3 linked regions of the Diceros bicornis minor genome follow. The protein of the gene in region 1 interacts with the protein of each later gene in a pairwise test. Links are inferred from orthologs where the notes say so. Each region holds a gene or a part of one and is shown in the gene's direction. Other genes may lie near its edges.

Evidence for each region.
Region 2: the proteins of MAPK8IP3 (region 1) and KLC1 interact in binary tests that used the Homo sapiens proteins (3 or more experiments, as listed by UniProt). The link is inferred for Diceros bicornis minor from reciprocal best matches to the Homo sapiens genes MAPK8IP3 and KLC1.
Region 3: the proteins of MAPK8IP3 (region 1) and LDLRAP1 interact in binary tests that used the Homo sapiens proteins (3 or more experiments, as listed by UniProt). The two-hybrid records come from large-scale screens. The link is inferred for Diceros bicornis minor from reciprocal best matches to the Homo sapiens genes MAPK8IP3 and LDLRAP1.

The regions. Positions count from the first base shown.
Region 1 is NC_080765.1:46,694,876-46,702,847, reverse strand, and holds the start of MAPK8IP3 (C-Jun-amino-terminal kinase-interacting protein 3), read left to right. Parts: upstream 1-4,900; 5' UTR 4,901-4,991; coding exon 4,992-5,309; intron 5,310-7,972.
Region 2 is NC_080763.1:48,267,822-48,275,620, forward strand, and holds the start of KLC1 (kinesin light chain 1), read left to right. Parts: upstream 1-4,750; 5' UTR 4,751-4,898; intron 4,899-7,799. UniProt on the Homo sapiens protein: Kinesin is a microtubule-associated force-producing protein that may play a role in organelle transport. The light chain may function in coupling of cargo to the heavy chain or in the modulation of its ATPase activity.
Region 3 is NC_080752.1:41,574,731-41,582,467, forward strand, and holds the start of LDLRAP1 (low density lipoprotein receptor adapter protein 1), read left to right. Parts: upstream 1-4,689; 5' UTR 4,690-4,753; coding exon 4,754-4,841; intron 4,842-5,119; exon of another isoform or gene 5,120-5,811; intron 5,812-7,737. UniProt on the Homo sapiens protein: Adapter protein (clathrin-associated sorting protein (CLASP)) required for efficient endocytosis of the LDL receptor (LDLR) in polarized cells such as hepatocytes and lymphocytes, but not in non-polarized cells (fibroblasts).

The DNA.
Region 1 (7,972 bases):
ATCTCTGGACCATATTCATAGTTTCCGGAAGAGACTTTGAGACCTTAGGCCAGGAGATTAAGTAGTTTGGCAGCAGAATCTTAAGTGGCCAATTCCATGATATTTGCCAGCAAAGATACTTGCTTCCAATTTGTTCCATGCAGGCTCTAAAGGGCTACAGTCTCAATTCCTACACTTCACTCATGTTGGACCAACAGTTCACAGGAGAGGATTTGGGTGGTGGTAGCTATAGGTATGAGTGCCTACAAAGCTAATGCCAAGTGCTAGAAATATCTTCATCATTATTAAAATTTCGAAAAGCAACAGCTGTGTTTAGTTGCACTCACAGTGGCCCAGACACTTAAGTGCCTACAGGTGCTGCCTGCCAAGCCCCACTTCTCACACCCAGTACATTGAGGGGGTCTGCATGTGGCTTTGTCAACCAAAGACAGTTGTCCTTTCAACTGCCCTCTGACTTTGGAGCCAAGAAACACTCATTTTATGTGACTCTATCAAGTACTTCCTGTCTCCATCCTTCAAATGGTCATTTACAAGCAAGTTTTTGGAATTCAGAGGATTTTTTACCCATTAAAAAATGTTATAAATGGTTAGCTTTTAAGCCCAAACACACTAACTTGTTTAACTTAAAATGTTCTGATGGTAGAAATGAACTCCCATTTATAACTGTTTTGTTGTGGTTTTTTACTGTACAAGAAAATGATTTGTGAATTCCAAATTGGATTGCCAAGAAGAACCCTGCATTGTGGTGCTGGCCCTTGTGGCTTCATCCCACCCTCACTGTCAGCCAGTGGGAGGAAGAGCGCTCCAGTTCTGTCCACTGGCAGGGATCTCGGTGGAGATGGGAGAAACCTGAGATGAGAATGAGGAAAACATGAACACAGAAAGAGCTTCTGGGCAGCAGTGACAGAACTCCCTGTGTCGCCGCCCCCCCCCCCCCCTTGTTTCTCTTCCTGAGACCCCAGCAGTGGGTTAGAGTGCCTGACTAGTCTGGTCACTGGGAGAAGCAGAAGAGGAGTTTCTGCTCAGGTGAGCCCGATGGGGGTAATCATTTGTATTGGGAAAATGCTCTGTACACTGGGGACTGCCTGTGTTTGGATGATTCATTAACTCTTAGCATCCTGTTAACCTCTAAGCTGCATTGAGAAATTACTAGGTTGTATTTTTATTAAGCCTTAAAATTTTTTTATGTGCATTTGGTGCCAACTTTTTTCTGGAGCTGTATCAAAACACCAAACCTGTACACACTTGCAATGTAATTTTGATAAGAACATTTTATTATTTTTACAAGGCAGAATTGGGTATAACAGTTGAATTAAACTTAGCAATCATGTACTCAAAGTCTTTGCCTGGTGTGTGTGCATGCGTGTGTGTGTGTGCATGCATGCACACATGATTTTCTCAACATCCATTTTCCAAAGTGCCTGAACTCTGCTTCCCTTTCAGCTTTTCATTGGTGACAGGGTTTGCCTTTTTTTATTCCTTTCTTTTTTTTTCATTTAGTCAGAGGATGCCCAAATTAATCTTCTCAAAGGTTATGGATTTAAGGTTCTTTTCTTTTGAAAACCAAAAACTTAGAGTAGAATGAGTGGGAATATGCCCCTGTTCTTTTTACTTTCTGTAAGTTAAAAGTAATGATCTTTTTTCTCTTACACCGCTTGTTTTCCTAAAGAACTGAAGGTATTTTTGTGTCTGTGAGGAAGATCAGCCCTGAGCTAACATCCGTGCTAATCCTCCTCTTTTTGTTGAGGAAGACGGGCTCTGAGCTAACATCTATTGCCAATCCTCCTCGTTTTTTTCCCCAAAGCCCCAGTAGACAGTTGTATGTCATAGCTGCACATCCTTCTAGTTGCTGTATGTGGGACGCGGCCTCAGCGTGGCCGGAGAAGCGGTGCGTCGGTGCGCACCCAGGATCCGAACCCGGGCCGCCAGTAGCTGAGTGCACGCACTTAACTGCTAAGCCACGGGGCTGGCCCAGAACTGAAGGTATTGAATTTGCCTCTGAGTTGGCTTTGAGACTTTGAGTGACGAGCCTTGTAATGACAAGATGAGGTGCTACGCTGGCAGGGTTTGCCTGTAGTGTCAAGTCCTGCAGAGAATGCACAGATTGAAGGTCTTTCTTTCTATATTAGCTATTTTCACGTTCCTACAGGGAAACTTGATACCCTTATGTGCATTCCATAATTTCAGGGTGATGAGACTCCTCAGACTGCCTGCCTGGAGACCCTTTACAGGAGGCTCCACACCATTCTGCTTGCTGGACTGGGCCAGCTACCAGGACAGCACTACAGAAAGAAACCCTACGTGGGGAACATGGGTTACTGGACGCTGTCTTCATTCATTCATCTGAAAACGTGCTGGGGAGTACAGAGCATGTTCCAAGAACTGGGCTAGGCACTGGCAACATTACATTACCTATTTGTAGCAGCCGCTTCAGGCACAGGCGAGCACTGAGGTCTCAGAGTGTCACAACCTGTTTGTCTCCAGAAGCCAGACAATGGCTGAGCCGGAAAGGACTGAGGTAGCTCCCGCTATGTTCTGGTGAGGGAGTGAGTAACATCCAAGGGTTGCTGCCTCCAGTCCTGTGCCTTGTCCAGAAATACACTGGCGCTTTTGATGAGGCATAACATTTCTTTGTGAGTCACGCCTTGCAAGGATGTATATACCTATGTTACCCAGTTCATTTGTTTTGAACTCATTATATTAATCCTTAGCATACTTGGAAATCCCGAATGAAATATTCCTGTTCTATGTGTGACTACAACGTGCTATCTAAAATTCGACTTAGAAAGAAATGAGAGGGACATTACAGGGACCAAGGTGACTTTTTAGCAAGCATTAGGGGTAGATACTTAGAAATTAAAGTAGAACTTATGAAACCTGTGTGTTCCTCTTACATTTTAAGGTCTTATAAGGAGGAAAAGTTCTATCTCAAACTATCTTTACAAATCTGAAGGGAAGCCTATTCTTTCTTAAAAAGTAAGTTCTAACTCAGTTATCTTGAGCTCTCAGGAGTGTACTACTTGCATTCTTCAGTCAGCAAGAATTATCCAGCATATCATCTTGTTAAAACTTCATTTTATTTTAACCAATTTCAAATAACAAATCTGCCCAATCACGTTAATAATAAAAATTAATCAAGTTGATGGCCAAGTCATTTGGCCTCTCACTGTGGTAGTGGGGGCTGCTCTACTGTATTTGTTATTTCAGGAATACAAAGGGGTCAAATTTCTGAAAAAGGCCTAAGGCAGAAGTCTTAAACATTCCCCAAAACACTCACAGGCTTTCTCTATAACTTGTTCACCAGCAAAAATTAAACATTTCATCTGTTTGTCCTGGCTTATCATTTTGAGAATATAAAACTAACAATTCTACATAACATATTGCATGCTCATTTGCTGGATGGTGCTAAGCCTCTTTCATGGATTAGTTTACTTAATCTTTATAACAGTCCTGGTAGGTTGGTAATATTTTTAGGCTCAGTTTTACAGGTTTGGAAATGGAAATTTAGGATGATTAAATCACTTAGCTAGGATCAAAACTCAGGCACTCTGAATCTGAGACTGAAACCTCAGTTTGTCTCTTATTAGGGTGGGTGAGCATCCATACAGCAAATTAGGTTGCAAGGGAGAGATGTGTACAATAGTTAACTGATTTGGTACAGTCAGGTTAGGATGAGAGGATGAACTGAACTTGAAGCATTTCAGTAGGTGAAAGGAGTAAGAGCATTTCTATCAGCATTAAGTGTTTACTAATGGGTTTTGTAAATCAGAATTCACACTACCTGTGTGGCCCCCAAGCTGAAAGTCTAAGTCCTGGGTTCATGGTGTCCTCAGATGCCAGTGAAAGAAAATGCAAATCTTCTGGAGCGACTCATTTTAAATTCAGGCCTCAAAGTATTTCCATAGATAAAGTTCCAAGGAATACCAGCTCAGAAGGGAGGGGAGGAGCAGCCTGAGCAAGAGTCAACCAAAAGAACAGACTGCAGAATCAGACCTGCAAAGCCTGCAGATAATTGTAATTAGATGTCAAAAAAAAAAAGCTTACTAAAGAGATTTAAAATCAGTAGCTGAAAGTGGAAGAAATAAGAGCCTATCAAAACTGGTAGAACATAGGAAAATCAAATAGGACAAATAGAAATTTAACCACTGAAATTAAAAACTCAATGGATGAGTTAAACAGATAACACATAGCTGAAGTAAAACCGGGAAATCTGAAGAAGTTATACAAAATGCAGGACATAGACGGACTAAAAGCTCGTTACTGGATTTTAGGATGAGATGGCAACTTGCATTTAACTGGAATCCCAGGAGGGACAATCGGACGGTAGAGAGGCACTATTTGAAAGGAAGCTCTGAAAACTTACTGAGTAGGACTATGCACTACTGTGTAGTACAACTATAAAGGTGAAGCAGAACAGTTAGCCAGCTCATCATGGTCACCCTGGGGGAAGGGAGGTGCGCACAAGGATAACGTCCATTTCTTTGCAGGGAGAGTGGGCACCGGATGCTCGTTTAAGTCTCTAAGCCGTACACAATCGTTTATATATACTGCGGGACATAAGCTACGTCTTTCAAAGTCCGGGACAGTGTCGTGGGAGCCAGAAGGAACTTGCTAAAGACGACAGCCGCAGCAGGAAACAGCTCTAACGCCTGACCGGAAGCGCCGCCTGCCCCGCTCGGCCGAGCTTCCGGCCAGGAGACAGGCTTCTTCTTACGTCACGGCCCCTGCGACCCCTAGCGGTGCGGGGTCGCGGAGCTCCAGCGGGACGGGCACCGCCCCCTCTGCCTGGCAGGCGGGACTTCCGGCCGCTGAGTGACGGGCGCAGCCTCAGCAGCGGCGGCGGCGGCGGCGGCGGCTGAGCCCTCGGGCGACAGCGACAGCGACAGCGGCTGCGGCGGCGGTGACGGGCCGCGGCCTGCAGACTACGGGCAGCCGGGGCGGGCGGGCGCGCCGGCGGAGAGCGGGCCGCGCTGGCGGCGGCGGTGGCCGCGATGATGGAGATCCAGATGGACGAGGGCGGCGGTGTGGTGGTATACCAGGACGACTACTGCTCGGGTTCGGTGATGTCCGAGCGGGTGTCGGGCCTGGCGGGCTCCATCTACCGCGAGTTCGAGCGCCTCATCCACTGCTACGACGAGGAGGTGGTCAAGGAGCTCATGCCGCTCGTGGTCAACGTGCTCGAGAACCTGGACTCGGTGCTCAGCGAGAACCAGGAGCACGAGGTGGAGCTGGAGCTGCTGCGCGAGGACAACGAACAGCTGCTCACCCAGTACGAGCGGGAGAAGGCGCTGCGCAAGCAGGCCGAGGAGGTGCGTGGGCCGGCCGCGCGGCTCCGCGCCGGGAACCCGCCCGGGGACCTCAGCCCCGCCTGGTCCTCATACACCCCCCGGCCCTTCCCTGGGACTCCGCCCTCAGCCCTGGTCCGGGGACCTCAGCCCCGCCTGGTCCTCATATCCCACCCCCCCGGCTCGGGGACCCCGCCCTCCGCCCTCGCCCGGGAACCCCCGCCCCGCCTTAGCCCTCGCCGGGGACTCCTGCCTGGTCTTCATACCCCCCGCCCATCGCAGCACGGCCCCCATTGCCCCGGAGCCCCTAGCCCGGCACAAGGGATGAGCCCTGGCACCCCCTTCCTCCTGGCCTGCTGCTCCAGCCCAGGCTGGAACCCAGGACCCCCTGGCCTCAGCGGGGGAGCTTGCAGCCTAAACAGCCCTTAGCCTCGGGCCAGGCCTCCGTTTCCCCTCCATACTCGCCTCTCATTCCAGATGCCAGGTTTTATGCTTTTGTGTGTGTTTTTCGCAAACCATTTTCCTAGGCCCCAATTACTACCTCTGGTTGCTGCAATTCTAAATTCTCCTCTCAGAAGAGAGATTTCTGATCTTATGGTTCTGCGGCCGGAAGAGGTCTGTTGTCAGAAGGCCTTTTCCTTGTCCCTAATCCCTGTTTTGAAGGTGTGTGACATAGGCGAATTTGGGAATTGATGTAAACACATAACAAAAGCCGCAGTTAGGCTGCTCCTCTGGCACTAGGTGAAAGACTCCCGGTTTCCGGAGATCATTTCTCTGCCTTGTGGTTCCCTCGGTTGGGAAGGTTGTTAGTTTATGTGGAAAAGGCTGAGAAGTTCTACTCTGGCTTCTCAGGAGTTAAAAGTAGAATTTTGAAATATTTGATTGTGTTCTAGATATCTCCATAACCTGGAAATCACTTACTTGTGAACCAGTTAGAAGCACCGTGCAGGGAATACCACTTAACTTCATTCATTCACCATCTAATATTTAGCCCTGACTGCGGTGCCAGACCCAAACGGATTCGGGGAATGTGGGTTCTCATCCCTGCTTTGCCTCTGTGACCTTGTCTGTGTCGCCTGCCTGCTCTGTATTTTGATTTTCCATCAGCCAAATCAGTCAGTTGCCCTAGATGATCTCTAAGCCCTGACGTTCTGTCATTCCAGGCGTTAGGTGATGCTCTTTGATTTATGAATAGGAAGTTTCTTATTAAATGAGCTAAATTCCTTTTCAATTAATTCGGCGTAACACATTCTTGACTTTAGATAGAAATAGAAAATTGTTCCAATATTTGAGCTTTTTCTTAAACCAGAGTGATTTATGCCCTAGTTTGGTTTAAAGCATCTTTATAAAAATTAACAGTGCCTTGTATCGTTCCTACTTAAGGTGGTTTATTTTGCTTTTGGGTTTTGTGTATCTGTCAAGAGGCTGTTGTCTATTGATTGGGGTGCCAGGCTCCACCAAAACTGATTTAAAGCTCTCAACTTAAGGGGATGGAAGAGCTTGTAGGATTTTAGAGTTCAGAGTGGCCCTAGGCATTTACTGGGGAGGGAACTGGCTCTGAGAAGTGGGGGGTGGCTGGACCACGGTCTCGCGCCGTAGGAGAGCCAGGCCAGGACCCAGTCCACCCTGACTCCTCACCAGGGCTCTTCTCTCCGTGCCATGCTGCTCTGGGAGGTCAGAGAGCTGCACTCCCAGACTGGAGTTCTGGGGCTCCCCTCACCCGGCCATGGGGCTATGGTTCCCTCCCTAGTGCTGGGCAGCACCCTCCACTTCTTTGACCACTCTCAGTGGCTGTTTGATGCCTAACTGAGATTGCAAGTAGGTTTGTTTTCTTTCATCCTGTACCTGTGTGGTCAACATAGTGGATGAGACAGAATTAAAAGGAGAAAACCGAGATGGACAACCTTAAGGCTAAGAGTCACGACTTTCTACCTTAAAAATTAGCTGTGCATGGATTAGGCCTCTGCTCTGCGCAGTTCAAGTGCAGCCACAAGCGAGTGTGCTTCTGGCCTCCATTTCCGCTCCCGTGGACTAAGAGGTGGGGGTGCGTGTGTTGTCTAGAAGAGACTGCCTTCAAGGCTGAGACCCACCATTGCCCCAGCTATTAAGAGAAGCTGCACAGAGTTTCCTGAGCAGAGAGCCACAAAGCAAACAAATGCTTGGCTAGCCAGTATCTAGGCTGTGATTAGATGCTAATAGGACGCCCTTGGAAAGACCTCAGGTGATATTACAACTAAAGGAAAGGGCCAGTACTGTTACCATTTTGGCATTCTAGCTCATTTGTTAAATCCAGCAGACATTCATTTTCCATTTTGTGGAAAAGACTACTATGCACTGAGGATCGGCTCCTTTCTCTAGGCAGGGAATTGGGATCACAGATGTGTGTCTGGTGACACAAAAGCTGGAACGTCACCCGCTGCAGGCATGTTCATGTTGCAGAGTAGCTCCTGTGTCCCCGGCCACTCTACTCAAGAAGGCTTAGTCAGAGCTGGGTAACCTGAGCTGCCTGCGGCCTTCTGAGCAGACAGAATCTGCAGCTTTTTTAAAAAAGCCTTGAGCAGAGCAAATTACCCCTTGCTCGTGATAACCATAGCAAGGAATTGCGAGTATGTTCTGGTCCCAGGGTGGCTCAGTGGATGGGAGTGATGGTCGCTAGAGATGTGGGGTCCAGGGAGAGGGGCCGAGCC
Region 2 (7,799 bases), on another chromosome or scaffold:
TCCAAGAGAAATGAAAATATGTGTTCCCCAAAAGACTTGCATGAGAAAGTTCAGATCAGCTTCTTTCATATGAACCAAAATGGAAGCAGCTCAGGTTCTCATCAACAGGAGACCGTCAAACACACAACATCATGGATGAACGTCAACACTATTAGTTGAGTGAAAGTTGCCAGATACAAAAAGCAGATACGGTAGGATTCCACTTATATAAAATGCTAGAACAGGCAAAACTAACCTATAGTCAAACAAAACAGAACAAAGCAAAGAAGGCCCATTGGCTAATTGTGGAATCTCAGTGGTGGGTATGTGTGAGTTTGCTATACAAGTTTTTCTGTCTGTTGACACATTTGGGGACAACAAATGCAGACACAGCCAGACTGATCTTTCTCTAGCACAGGCTCCATTGCCCTCCCTGCCTGCATTGAAGCATCAGTCCTCATCTGGAGACATCCTGGGTCCCACGGATGGCTCTGTACATTGGTCTCACCATCCAAGACGGCTTCCCTCATGGCCTGGTGCCCCAGGGGACAGCCAGAAGGCAGCGCTCAGGGGACAGGGATGTCTGGGCCTCTCCAGCAGGGCAGCTGGCCTTCTTACATGGCCACTCAGGTTCTGAAAAGCACAAAAGTGAAATCTCCGGGGCCTTCTTAAGGCTTCAGCCTGGAACCGGCTGCCTCACTTCAGCTGTACTCAGAATCAGGCTGGCCCAGAGGGCGTGTGGAGGTGACTGGTCAGGAATGCTGGGGACCCTGGAACTCCTGCAGGAGCCAAGCTTCACCAAGCAGGACCCAGGCCTCAATCCCCCTGCATCAGGGAAAAATGTGTGAGAGAGAGACTGAGGGAGCAGGCTGGGCTTCCCCCCAGAGCCAACCCACTCCCTCCTCCCACTTCCTTCCTACTCAAAGTGCTGCTGTTTTCCCCTTTGTCCGAAGGCGAAGGCGCAGTCACTGGGGCTTAATGCCAGCAGCTGCAGCTCTTTAAAGGAAAAACACCCTGAAAATCTGATAAATGCCATTTTCAAAACTGAAGCCAGAGACCAGAGAGGGTGTGGCTTGTGGTGGAGAGCAAGGCAGAGGAGCCCGGATTAGCCCTGGCCCAGACACCAGGCTGCCCCTCCCCAGATGAGGCGCACCAGCCCCTCATCCCCTGCCTCATGCAGGCTAGGCATTGGCCAGAATGAGGGTGAGAGGTGGGGGCCAGGCTGGGGGAGGGGGTGGGAGGAGGCCGCCCTGGAAGAGAGGGGGACAGGGGAACGCAGCTGGCTGGCGGGGAGCTGGGGGAGTCCTGGCTGCACTGCCTCTGCTTACCCTCCCAGCTCCTGTCCCTCCATGTGTGTGCAGCCCCTCTCCTGACAAGGCCACTCAGACAGGTCACCACTCCCATCCCAAGGACACACACCCAAGTACAGCTTCCCAGCCCCACCAGGCTGCCAAAATGAGACTGTGTGGTTGGTTCCACGTTGTGCATCTCTTCCTGCAGTTCCCCCACTTGGACCTTCATCTGCTGGGTCCTTCCCACCTACCATGTGAATGTTCCTCTTCCATGGAGTCCCCTGATCCCTGAGGGACATACAGCTTCCCCGCTCAGCGCCTGAACCAGGCCTCCTGTCTCTGCTCCCGCGGGTTGTCGGCTCCCCCACACAGGGGCGCCTTGTTCTCCCATTGCGCAGCCTCGCACCTGACACTAGTGGTACTCCATAAATATTGGGAACGGAATGATTGGGAGACTGTATGCTCCTGGTTTATCTCTGACGTCCAGGTGCCTGGCAAACCGCAGGAGGTCAGTGTTGCATCACTGGACGCGTGTGGATGTTTTCACTCTTCCTGGACCAGGGACCTCAGCCCCAGCTTCATCTGCGCACTGTAGGCTGCCTCCAAATCTGTACTCCAGCCCCAGCCTCTGTTTAGATCTCCAGGCTGCCTGTTGATCTGTCAGGTTTCGGAGCAGGAGAGTGAAAGAGTCAGAGCTGGGAAGGAGACAGAAACAGATGAGGGCAGAGGACACAGCCTCTCCCTTTGGGGAAAGTAGGAGGATGGAGAGACAGAGACAGGCAGAGAGAAGGAGGAGGAGCTGGCTCACACCACGCAGGATGCCTTTTCCAAAATGGAAGAGCGCTTACAAGGGAGCAAGGAGAGAGCCTGCTCCCTGCTCTCACGTCTGCTGGAGGAACCCCTAGTCCTGCTGCATGGGGGTGGGGTGCGGGCTGGGCCCTGGCCAAAGGTCCCTGGCTGCCCCCTGGGGCACAGTCCTACCCCACCAGGACCCTAGCTAACTCAGCAGGCTGTTGGCCACAGGGATGCTCAGAGGCCACTAGGACTTGTGCAAACAGGTGTTTGCTTCCCTGGGCCCTGGTCCTCTGGGTTTGTAGGGAAGAACAGATAATGGGTTTGCTGCCTGTGAGTAGCTCTGCTGAGGCTCCCCCACCACAAAGGCATTGACTCCTGGCTCTGCTAGTGCCTGCACTGGGAGCAGGGCTCTGTTTTGATTCCTAAAGCTGAGTTACTCCCTCTCTGGGAAGCAGCAAGCAAACCACGGAACTTGCAGGGCTTCAGCTGCAGCATCTGTTAAATGGGGATAACAGCACCTCTCTCGGAGTTTCTGTGAGGAGCAGAGGATTGAAAGGGACTGAGGACGCTCAGGGCAGGGCAGCTCAGTGAGGGCAGGACTTGTTAGTCTTAGTTTGAGACGCTGGGTGAGGAAGGCGCCAGCCCCGCCACTCTCAGAGGGATAGGTGCATCGCAGCATTTTCAGCAGGGAAGTGACGTGGTCAGATTCAGGATGTGGTGGATGAATTGGCCTTTTCTTTCTTTTCCCCAATACTGCAGACTCATTCCTGCCTGAGGACTTGTGCCTGGCGTGTTCTCCCCCAGGCTTTGCACCGTTGGCTCCTGCCTACTATTTAAGTCTCAGCGCACCTGCCTGCCTCAGAGTTCACCCCGACCACCTCGCCTCTGCCTGTTGCATCATCTTACTTTAATTCTCTGCATGGCACTGCATGAGCAGGGATCTTACTATCCTGTTTACCAACATATCTTGGCTCGTATCGTGCGGACCACCGCAGCTCAACAAATATTTGTTGAGAGAATAAAAGAACGAGACAATAAAGCCTAAACAGAGTGGCAGCAGTGGGGATGGAGAAGGGATGGAGTAAAGCAACATTAAGGAGGTAGATTCTTGGCCACCCATCAGAAGAGGGCATAAGCATCTCAGGTTTCTAGCTTGGGGACAGTTACTGAGTCCAGAGTCACAGACAGAGAAAGGAGCCTCGGCTCCTCTCTTCTCCAGAGCACTTTGGTCACAGCTGCCTCGCCCAGCTCCAAAGTGGTTGAGGAGCAGGTGACATCCAAGCTGCAGTGTGGCCAAATCACTACCAGAGTGTGGAGGGGTTGTTTGACTCTGATTCACTGCCTCTCCCTCTGCCCAGTAACTGCTGTGTCACTGTAGGAACTCCCCCCTTTTTACCTCTTCTTTGCATTTATAAACGAAAGCAAAGTAACTGGACCTCCCTGTGAAAATCTAGGAGAACTTACTTCTCCGTGACTGTGTAATTGCGGGGTTAAAACAGGGCGGCAGGGCTGGGTGATAACATCTGAAGAGCAGTTGAAGAGCGAATGGGGGTGGGAGATTGGCACAGGAACCCCTCCTGATTAACGGGGCCCTGCACTTGGGACATCTGCAGGCACCTGGGGCGCGGTTCTCCCAAGCTGGTGGCAGGCAAAGACAACTGAGCCTTGCGCACTGATTCAGCATGCTTCCTCCTGGCTGGCTGCTGAGTCAGGCCTGCAGAGCTCGCGATGCAGCAGGATGAGGCCAGGGGCTCTCTCTGACCTGGAAGTACTGCCCTTCAGGCGGGGGCTGGAGGTTGTGGCACTGCAGCCCGGTGTGTGCGCGGGCGATGGCGCCGGTGGGGTGCGACAGCAGGGAGTGGCATCTCTGCTCTTGCAGGCACTAGTGGTTAAGCATCCCGGTCTCTCTTACCAGACTGAGGTGCAGTTCGTGGGAGGCCTTTGTGGCTGACGGGAGGGCCCCGAAATTCCCCTCTATTTCTGAGGCTGCAATGGTCCTGGGGAGAGGGAGTAACGAGATGGGAAGGCGCAGGGGTCTGGGGTCCCGGGTCTTGACCAAAGGCTGTAGGTTTTCCTGGAGGAGGGAGAAAGGCCTCCTGGCTTAGCCTAGCCTCTCAGCATTCTGTCCTCTGGAGGCGCTGGTGAGAGCCCTCCTAACGTGTTCTGGAAAGAAGCAGACGAGCACATGACACACGTGCATACGGGGTTGCCACACAGCGTTGTTCCTGGTATAGGAGGGAATGGACGGGACGCAGGGCTGACCGACCGGCCATGCTGGGCCGGAGCCGTCCTCAGGCCACACTCCCAACCGCGCGCCGGGAGGGACGACAGCCTGGCGCTAGGTGGTCGGGGGCAGCCGCGCCCGCGCGGGGCCACCCACGGCGGGCACACGCCCCGCCCCTCTCGTGGACAGCCGGCACACGCCCCGCCCCTCGCGTGGACAGCCGGCCCCGACCGCACCCGGTCCTCGGCTAGCCAAGCGCCGCGGGAGCCACCCCGGGCCCGCCCCCGGCATGACGTCACGGCGACGCGCGGCATTGTGGGGCGGGAGCGCCCAGCCGGGGGAGGGACGCGGAGACGCCATTTTCGGCGGCGGGAGCGGCAGAGCCGGAGCCGGCTGGGTGCGGGGCGGCGGCTGCGAGAAGGAGCCGCGGGGACAGCGCGGGCGGGCGGCCGAGGATGCTGCGGGGCGGCCGCGCCGGCATCCCTCGCTCGTGACCGCGGCGCCGCGTCTGAGGCGTCCAGGCGGCGGGCCCGCGCAGTCCCGCTCCGCGCACGCGCCGCGGCCTCCCGGTGCTGACAGCGCGAGCGCGCGGCCGGCGGAGCAGCACGGTGAGTGCGGGCGGGCCTCACCCGCGTCCCCTCCTCGGTCCCCGTCCTCACCCCTGTCGCCCTCAGGCCCTCTCCCGACCCCGCCCCGGGCCCAGTCCTCGGTCCTCAGCCGTGGTTATTCCTCTTGCCTTCCCGTTCCCGGTCCCCTCCCCGGGCCGCAGACCGCGGTCCTCATCCACGTCCCCTTCCTGTCCGCTTCCCGGCCCCCTCCCGGGGCCGCGGACCTCGGTCCTCATCCATGATCTTTTCCCGTCCCTGGCCGCCGCCCCATTCACGTCCGCTCCAGATTCGGGTCCCGTGCGCGTCTCCATCCCGGCTCGGGTCCCCGCCCCAGCCCCGCCCCAGCCCCGCATCCACGGCTTGGCCCTGCTGCGGGCGGGGGCGGCCGCGCCCGGGAACAGCTGTGGTCCCGGGAGCCGCGCGACGGGGGATGTGGCCGCCCCCGGGACGCGGCGGGCAGGAGGGGGCGGCCGGCCGCGTTTGCTTTGTCCGAATCCTCCCTCTTCCTTCCGGCCGCCGCCCTCTCCCGTGGCACCGCCCTGGGCGGGCGCGCCTGTCAGGCTCGCGGGCGACCGGCGGCCGGGCGGGTCGGAAGCGTGTGGGTTCCCCCGAGAGGCCGGCTCGACCTCGCCTCCTCGGCGATCCCTTTCTTTTAGTAGCAAGACGGGTAACCTTTCATCCTCAGTGTTCGTCTAAACTTACAGCAGCCCCAGTGCTGGAATATCTAGTTGGTTGTCAAATGTGGTGCATCTCTTTCCTTGAAAATATTAAATAAAGGACTAAAAAAGTAAAATTAGTGCCTGGTGGATTGGATGGTTTTACAATTTAAGGTTTGTAGATCTAGGTAGTTTTGTGTTGGAAATTTTATATTGTTGCTGCTTATTACTGTTTTTTTATTTAAACAGCACATTTAGAGTTTAAAGAGTACTTGCAAAAATGATGTTTTTAAAAAGTGTGAGAACAACAGAAAATTTGAGATACACCGTTTAACTGCTGGGTAAATGGGCAGTTGGTTCTTTGATTCTTTGCATTAGTTAAATTCCAAGGCTTTTTTTTGTACAGCATAACTGAGCCATTGATCAGAGTCATTAGCTCAGAATACATTGTAATAGTTCAGTGAAAAACCCATTAGGAAATTGGAACAACCTCCTTAAATCTCATAATCTTATTACAGTTCCAGATTTATGTTTTTCAGGCACTGGCCACAGGCCTTAGGGTGGGAAATTTGATTCATTGTTGTTTCCTAAGTATCTGTAAGAATGCAGTGATACTAAATATTACAAATTTCAGATTGTGTGGAATTATATGTGGGAGGGTAGGCACTCTTAAGAGCCGGTTTCTCCAAGTCATCAAAGAATGCAACATCATGTTGCAGTGGAGCCTGGCAGCCCTGTGCTGTTACGGAGGGGTGTGGAGGACCCAGGGTGTTAACCTCACTGCGGCCTGGCTCATTCACCTTGCTTGGCAATGTCTTCTAAAAACAGTGTAGACAGTATGTAGTAAAGGTAGAAAGACATGCACGGGAATGAGGACAGTGATAGTCTCCAGCAAGGAGGAGGGAGGAAATGCCACTGGGGAGGGGCATATAATATCTTAAATATTTCATAGTAATAAAAACTTAACTACAGTTACTTAAAGTTTACATTCTTTTTTAAAATTATACATTCTTAAGAATGTTTCATAATGTTGAAAGATAGATAAGTCAGTGTGTAGCTTTCCATATGGGCTATAAACTATCTTAAAATATAATTGTGTCAAACAAAACCCAAGAAATAGAAAAGTCAAAAGTTGAAAAAATGTAGAATTTTTATAACCTCCAAACATAGGTGGAATATGATGAGAAACCAGAACTTTATGTTACAAAGAAGTGATCAGTAATATTCTGAACAAGATACAGGAAAGTTTTAGGTGTCAGATTTCAGGGCATAGACTAAAAATGATTAGCATGTTAAGATTGTAAAAGCACAGTCTTAAACATCTTTTGAGAACCAAACGAATGGCAGGTGCTGTGTTAAGTAGTTGGGGATATACAGATAAGACTTCTAAGAGCTCACAGTCTGGCGAGGGAGATGGGAGAAGTTGAGAAGTCGACAGGTATTACAGATTAGGTTAAATACTGTGCTGAGTGCCCTGAGGAGGGGATTCCAGATATGAGACTGGAAGGAAAGTACAAATTGGCCAAATGACGGTGGGATTGGTGGTTCTGGAGGACATAAGCCCTGAGGTAGTGCTGCAGTAAAGGGGAGTGTTGGGAAGGGGTGTGAGTGGAAAGGTGTTGTACAGCCTGCATAAGGGGGTTGCTTTCACCCTGAGGGTAGGAAGGACGATTGGAGGATTCTAAGGAGAGAGGTGACATTTTAGAAAGAGCATAGGCAGTGTGGCAGGTGCTTTGAACCGAGATAAGACTAGTTAGGAAGCCATTAACCCCAAGTGAGGACTGTAAACTTTTGAGTTAGGGCAGTGACAGTAGGAACAAAGGAACAGATGTGTCAGAGAGGGATTGATGGACTAGAGTGGCCCTGAGTTGGGACTGAGTGGATTGGGGTAAGGGTCGGGCTGCAGGCAGGAAGAGACAGATCAGCAGTGTGCCCAGCCACAGCGAACTGCTAAAACATAAGGCGGGTCATGTCTCTCTGCTGAAGTTTTTGCCATTGTCCTGTAAGCACCCGCATCCCTGTCTCTTTCCCTCTTCATATTCTCACCCTCACTGAGGCACATCCAGGTGCATCCTAAGCCTGCTGTCCTGGGTGTCACTGTCCTCACTTCCCCACACACTCCCTAGTACTTCTTGCTACAATACTGTATTATTGTACTTAATTATTATTTAGTTTATTGTCTGTTTTCTCCACTTAACATCCATAAGCTCCACGAGGATGGGGATTTTTATCTGTTGTAGTCAGT
Region 3 (7,737 bases), on another chromosome or scaffold:
AGGAGGAGACAGCTGCTGGTCCTCCCCAGGAGGGCAGTCTGGGCAGGTAGGGGCACCTCCTCCAGCCCCTACAGGTGCTGCAGCGGGTCCCTCACTTGCTGGGCACACTCTGAGAACCAGCGGACAGAACTTAAGTCCTTGGATGTGTATTGGGCACCTCCCCTGCCAGGCACTGGTCAGCTGCTCCAGGGACCCTGGGGTGAAGGACGTTTCCAGTCCCCGTCCTTGAGGGACGCTCAGCTGCTGGGGAGGCAAGTGTGCCGCTGTTAGTGCTGGCAGTAGATTCCGACTCCTAGCGCCCCTGTGGACAGCACAGCAGAACCCTGCCTCGTCTTTTTGTGCCATCCTCTCACCTTCCGGCCTTGTATCAATGTTCAGCTGCTACCCATAGGGTTTTCATGGTCAATTTTTTTGGAAGTGGGTGGTCAGGTCCTTCTTCCTAGTCTGTCTAGTCTGGAAGCTCCACTGAAATGTGCCCACCGTGGGTGACCCTGCTGGTATTTGAAATATCAGTGGCACAGCTGTCAGCATCACAGCAACACGCAGCTGCCACAGTATAACCACTGACAGATGCGTGGTGTGGTTCCCTGACTAGGAAACAAACCCAGGCCCCAGTGGTAAGAGCACTGAATCTTAACCACCTAACCACCAGGGCTGGCTGGGAAGCAGACAGGTTCACCAATAACCATAAAAAATGAATGATAGCCAGAGTTACCATTTTCTGAGCACTTGCCACATGCCGGGCACTGGGCTAAGCATTTCCCACATATCACCCCACAGAAGCCTTACAAAACCTCTAAGGCAGGTATTGTCCCCATTGCACAGATGAGGAAACTGAGGCCCAGCTAGCTACAGTTGCATATACATACGTGGAGGATTTGGTTTTAGAGCCCAGGTATGTTCAACCCTAAGGTCAAACCCTTGTTGTCTAGGAGTGAGTGAGTGAGTGAGTGTGTGTGTGTGTGTGTGTGTGTGTGTGTGTGTGTTGGGGAGGGAAGATAGGTATGTGGGTAGCTGTGACTGTGGGTACTGGGGAGGAGGCCAATTAGATGTTCTGAGCAAAGGTGGGGAGGCTGGGGAGTTGAGGAGGCAATATGGCTAGGGATGTTTCTGGAAGAAGAAGCAGTATGGAAAGAGTCTGAGGAGGGAAGGGCTGTGGCTGCTGAGTCAGCAGGACCCAGCAGGCAGGAGAGGCCCTGTGGGTTGGGTGAAAGGGCAGAGCTGAATCGAAGCAGGAATCCCTGGGGCTCTGACTCACCAGGTTCCCTCTGGTTCCCTGGGAGAGGGCTGTCTCAGACCTGGGCCCAAGGGGCTGGGGGCGGCCTTACCCCACCAGTCGGAAGTGGGGGTGGGGGGCTCTGGGGTGAGGCTGGACTACCCACAGTTCAGACTGGGCCAGGATGGTTCCAATCCCTTCCCTGGGGGCTAGTCAGGAACTATGATCATAATAACCACTCCATCAGGAACCTGCATATTTTAGTTTTATTAAAATATGCAACAGGGCCGGCCCGGTGGCTTAGCGGTTAAGTGTACGCACCCCGCTGCTGGCGGCCCGGCTTCAGATCCCGGGCGCGCACCGACTCACCGCTTCTCCGGCCATGCTGACGCCGCGTCCCACATACAGCAACTAGAAGGATGTGCAGCTATGACATACAACTATCTACTGGAGCTTTGGGGGGAAAAATAAATAAATAAATAAAATTTAAAAAAATATATTTAAAAAAATAAAAAATATGCAACATACCTAGCACTTATTATAGCCAGGCATAATTCTAAAGACGTCCCAAACATTAACTCTTTTAATCCTCATAACCATCCATGAGGTATAAGCCCCATTTTACAGATGAGGAAACTGAGGCCTGTGGAATTAAACGATTTGCCTAAGGTCATGAAGTAAAGAAGTGGGGGAGATGGGATCCCAGGCTCCAGCATCCCTGTGTTCACCACTGTGCTCTGCTAGTGGAGGCTAAGAACACACATGTTGCAGTAAAAATTCCCATTTTACAGATGGAAAAACTGAGGTGAGGGGACTGGCTCAGGGAAGCAGGGAGGACAGAGCACTTGAGGAAACCAGGGCTCCTGACCCCAGCCTCGGCTTCCGTCCTGGTCCCACTGCAAGCCCGAGTGATGGCTGGAGAGAAGCTGAGAGCCCTCCCACACCCTGGCACCCACTGTCTCACTGGGGTCCCACGAGGGCCCACTGGGGGAGGACACAGTAAGATTACAGTTCTGACACCATTTTCCTAAAGACAAAAGCCAGTTACTCCCATAGGTAGCTTCTCCCTCCCTTTTATTGTTTTTTTTTCTTTCTGATTACTAAAGGATATATGATCACTGTAGAAATTTTTACAAAGTCAGATGAGATAAGCAAAAAAAAAATAAGAGAGAGAGAGAGAAGAAAAAAATCAAGATTTCTTTGCTCCCTCTCTGATTTTATAAGCATCCAAGCTGAAAGGCAAGAGACTTGGCTTCTGCTCCTGGCTTGCTGTGTGACCTTGGGCAAGTCCCCGCCCTTCTCTGGGCCTCAAGATCCTCACCTGTGAAATGAGGGTTTGGATACAGTGACCTCAGAGGAGGCCCCTCACAGCTCTGACCTTCTGTTTCTGCTTCTGTATCTGGGACTGGCAGAAGGGACACAAGCAGGCTGCCCCTCTGTGGGGGACGCATGGCTGACAGCTCCCAGCAAGACACCTCCGGGAGGATGCAATGGCCCTGTAAACAGCCTTGCTTGCCAGCACAGCATTCCCAGGCCTGCCTGCTTACCAGGCCCATATGGTGCCCCCTGCCAGCCGGACACCACCAGCTGCCCTTCACCGGCCAGCCCTGGGTGATTGCTTTTCCTTCAGGCCCCAGCATGCTCTCTACTGCCCCACAACCCAGCTGGCTCGGGGTAAGAGAGCTGGGGGGCTCAGCCCTGAGGACCGACCTGCCTATTGCCACAGCCCTTTGTGGGAGAGGACAGCCTGGTGTGGTGAAAAGCCGAAGAGAGGCGGGGGCGGGGAGAAGGAAGGAAGGAAGGAACATTGACTGTATCCCAACTCCATTTGGACCCCTTGCTAGGCATTTGGGATTCAGAAATGAGTCAGAAATACCTACTGCCCTTGAAGGACACAAAGTCTAGTGGGGGCGAGAAGAACAGAAACAGGCAGCAGCAACACTTGCAACGCCGAAAGCTCAGGCCTGTGGGATCCCACAGGGAGAAGCCTAACCGATGGGTGGTAGTTGGGGAAGGCTTCCCGGAGGAGGCAAATTTATAGGTGGGTTCTCAAGTACAGGACTCAGCCTTTCCAATTCATGCTATTTAATCCTTACAGACAGCCCTCTGCAATAGGTACTATGGCGCCTTTTACAGATGAGGCTCAAAAAGTGAGCTCACCAACACCAAAAGAAAGAAAGTTGGGTTAAAACCCCTGGCATTCTACTCCGGCTTGGGAGCCTGGATTTGAGTTTGATGCAGCCTCTGACTGGCAGGGACCCTCAGTGAGTGCCTCTCTCCTGGGCCTCAGGCTCTTATCTGTAAAGTGGGTGTGTTGCTGTTGCAGTGTTGTTGGAGGAGCAAGGGACAGAAGGGCTGAAAAAGCACTTAGGTTATAACCCGAGAGAGAAACACCAGCGAGGCCTCCCTCTCGAGCTGGGGCTACCACACCCGTCCTTCCCCCAGCCAGGAACAGGACTCCTGCCTTCTGATCCAGGAGCAAGCCCAGAGGCTCAGGTCACCTTGCCGAGGCACCCCCATCTAGAAGAAGCCGGGCTGTGCCCTTCTTTTGACTCCCTTTGACAAAGCCTGACGGGAAGGCACAGGATCCTAGAGAGAATTCTAAATCTTGGAGTTAAAACATCTGCGATTGAGGAATTCTAGGATCCAGACTCCCCTCCAAGCGCCTCCCGGCAAGCAGGGCAGGGTCTGGGTCAAGGTCATGCAGCACCTGGCCCTGCCAGGTTGGAAGGATCACTAGAGATAGGATCCCATCTCCTTTCACAGATCAAGATCAAGACCCGGAGAGGAGAAGGACTTGTCTGAGGTCACACAGCAAGTCAGTGTCAGAGCTAAGGCTCCTTTCCTCATGCAGAACACCTTAGGCCACACCACCTCTGAGGCTACTTAGGGAGTGGGGTGGGGAGGGGCAGCCCAGCGTGCCCAGGTGGTGCCAGGGAGCAGCCTGGGTGCCACTGGGTGAGTCAAGTACCACTGGTTTTCCAAACTTTTATACTCCTGTCCCCTTCTCAGCAAAGTTCTACAACCTCAACCTCTCCTTCTAAGCCCCCCACTGCCCAGTGCACCTCCCGTCTCTTAGATAAGACCCTACTCTCCAGCCCTCAGTCTTCCCATCTGTAAAATGGTCTTCAAGTATCTTTCAGCTGGGCTGTCCAGAAATCCTAGGCCGCCGTGTAGGCGGGGTGACGGAGGCGGCTCTCGGGCCCTCAGCCTCCTATGGGGTGGAGAATAAGAGGATTGGAGACAGGGAGGAAAAGGGGGGCGTCTAGGGCTTTCGGCTCACTACCTTACGGGCGCCCTTTGTTTGGACAGCCTCGGGAGCGCGGCGCACCAGGTCCCGGGAGCGAGGGCAGGGGCCGGGCGGGGCCCGGCCGTCGGGGGCGGAGCAGTGGGCGTGGCCTGGTCGGCCCTCGCCCCGCCCCGTCGGACGTCGGCGCGGAGCCCGCGTGGGGAGGAGGAGCGCGGAGCAGCGCGCGGCGCCCGGCCGCGGCGGAAAGTTTTCCTGCCGGAGTTTTGGCGGCGGCCGCCGGAGCGGCCATGGACGCGCTCAAGTCCGCGGGGCGGGCGCTGATCCGGAGCCCCAGCCTCGCCAAGCAGAGCTGGGCGCGCGGCGGCCGGCACCGGAGTGAGTGTGTGCGCGTCCGCCGGGCCGGGCGGGGGTCGGAGCGCGCGGACCGGCCTCCCGCGGGCGCCCGGGGGAGCGGCGAGGCCTGACCTGCGCCCTGCGGCCCTGGGGAGTGGGGGGTCGCCCGGGGTCACATCGCGCTCCCGCCCCCGCTCTGTGCAGCTGGGGAGGGGGGCAGAAGCTGGCGGTCCCCAGGGGCAGGCGGCAGTCGGAGGGGTTGCAGGTAAGAAGAGACTTGCGCGACCCCCAGCGCCTCCCCGCCCTGGGCAGCTCGGGGAGGCAGGAGCTCAGCGTCGGTGCCCGGGGGAGGGGGCGGTGCAGGGGCTTGGAAGACGCCCCCATCCCCGCACCCCTGCGCGCCAGCCTAGAGGTCAGCGGCCAGCGGGAGCCCATTTGCCCGGTCCCCTAGTGCAACCCACGAGGTCATCTTTCGACTCCTGGGCTCCCGGAAACCGACTCAGGTGTGAGCCCAGGTTCGCAGGTATCTACTTGAAGGTGGGGGCGAGGCTCAGCCTGGGCTCTCAGGAGGCAGCACACATCGGACTGTCTAGTCCCCTGCGTCCCTTCCTCTGGCCGGGTCCAGGTGGCGAGGCTGGCGTCTCGGCTGTTTTTGAAACCTGTTTTCTCTCGCACTTTCCCCCTTGGGTTTCCGAAGTCCCTGGGCTCCCAGGCGAAAGGCAGACTCGTCGCCACCTCTCCCGGGGGCGTCTGGGAGGCAGGGAGGGGCCTCGCCTGGCCCCCCTTCTCTCCCCTTCTCAGGTTACTCTCAGGGAACCCGTCACCTGGCACCTTCCCCTGAGGCCTGAGAAACCCAGCCCAAGTCTCTCCTTTTTCACGAGGGAAAATAGAGTGGCTTCCCTGGGGTCACACACACCTTCCCGGTGGATATGGAGCCAGAACTCCTGCACACTCCCACCCCCTGCCAACCACCTCTGACCTGGCCACTCCCCACTCCAGGAAAGCCCTGACGGTATAGTCACACCCCACCCCCCTTCCTTCTTTGCCTTCCAGGGCTCCACCAGGGGAGCCCGCGTTCCTCCGTGCAGGAGTGCCAGCGTGTCTGGGCCTAGAGAGCCCGCCCTGCCCCTCCTCTTGCACCACTCCTGTTCCAGCTGTGGCCGCCTCCTAAACTAAGACTGGCATTGGGAGCTTGGGTTGGTGCCTGCGGGTGGAGGTGGGGTCAGAGACTCATTAGGGCTGGGCCAGGCCAGGGATGCACCGTCTCCCTCCCTTGTTGGCTCCCAAAATAGACCTTTTAAATATTTGTGGGATTTGACCAGAACTTCTGAGATGATCTGAGATGACCAGAACTTCTAGTCCAGTGGGGGAACTCTGCAGCCTTCTCCTGGGATGAGGGAGGGAAGGGGTGCTGGGCAAGGGAAGGAATCTTAGAAGCCCCTCTGAAATTGGAGAAGGGAAGAGGCAGCCACCCTGGGTGGTGGAAAGGAGTTTCTCCTGCCTGCTCTGATCTTGGACAAGCTTGTCCTTTCTGATCCTCAGTTTCCTCATCTGCAAAATGGGAATAAAAATTCTAACCTGGCAGGGGTGTTGAGAAGGTTGTTGATAATAATGCTTCCTCCTGGCCCCTAATTGGTGGTTTCCTTGTCCCCGACTCCCATTGCTGTCATGTGGACCTTCCACATGATGATTACTGTGATGGAACAAGTTTTGGGGCCTCAGGGCCTGTCTACACCTGCGGAGGAAAGGAGAGGAGAGCCCCCCTCCCTCACAGACCCCCAGAGTGCTGTCCTGAGCCTTCTGGACCCAGGGTGAGCTGGGTCTAATCCCCAGCTGTCCGTCGTTATTAAGTCTCAGTTTCCTCATGTGTAAATTGTAAATAACAGTTGTTCCCACCTCTGATTTTTGTGTTTGAATGAAATCGTGTTTTCTTGGCATGGAGAAAGAGTGCAATAAATGGAGCTGCTGCTTTTGTCACTTTATGTTTTACACAGTGTTTCTGCTTCCATTATCTCATTTGCCCCTGTGAGGTGACAGAGCAGGGATTCTTATCAGACCCATTTTAGCGATAAAGGAACCGGGGCTCAAGGAAGTGGAGTTACTGGCCCCGGCATAGAGCTTCTGAGAGGCAGCATCCCAGATCCCCAGCCCAGGGGGCTTATCCCTGTGCCTCATGGACTCTGGCCCTGGGAGGAGGGGGAGCTGGGGGCAGTCTCCACCCCAGGCTGGGCTGGCAGCCCCTGAGGATAGTGGTGGCCACAGGGAAGCCCTGAGTGTGTCCAGGTTGGGGGTGCTGGGGTCCTCTGACCCTCGGGCGCCTCCGTGGGTTGTGCCAGTCTGTCAGAGAACTCAATGAGAAGGGCTAAAGAAACATGAGGCGCAGGTTCCAGGAAAGCTAGTTAATGGTGGTGGGCAGGGGACGGAGGATCTATGCACACTTATAATACTTACAATAGAAGATATTATAAATAAGCCATCATGCTCATTGAGCGCCGACTATGCATCAGACGCTGGTGGAGGCGTGCGGGAGTCTGGCGAACGGTCAGTCTGGTGGCGGAGGCAGGCAGATTGACCAGGGTGCGAGCGAGTGGCGTGATTGTGGGTAGTGGTGACTCTGAAGGAAGATAAAGCGGGGTGGGGAAATGATGGGGCAGCTTCGTTAGATAGCGTGGTGTCTTCGTTTGGGCTCTTCTGGAGGCAGATGCCGAGACAAGGATCTGAGTGCAAGTCGTGTTTTGGGGAAATGATCCCAGGAGACGTTGTCAGGAGGAGTGAGAGGGAAGGAAGTCAGGAAGTGGACAGTGTGAAGACACCACACTGGGCGACTGGCGTGCCATTGCCTGGGGCCCCGGGAGCCGGCGTGGAACGTGCTCCTCAGTCACTCCGGTTGAGCGGTCGTTCCTGTCAGTGCTGGGTGCGCGGCTGCTGAGATGGGAGC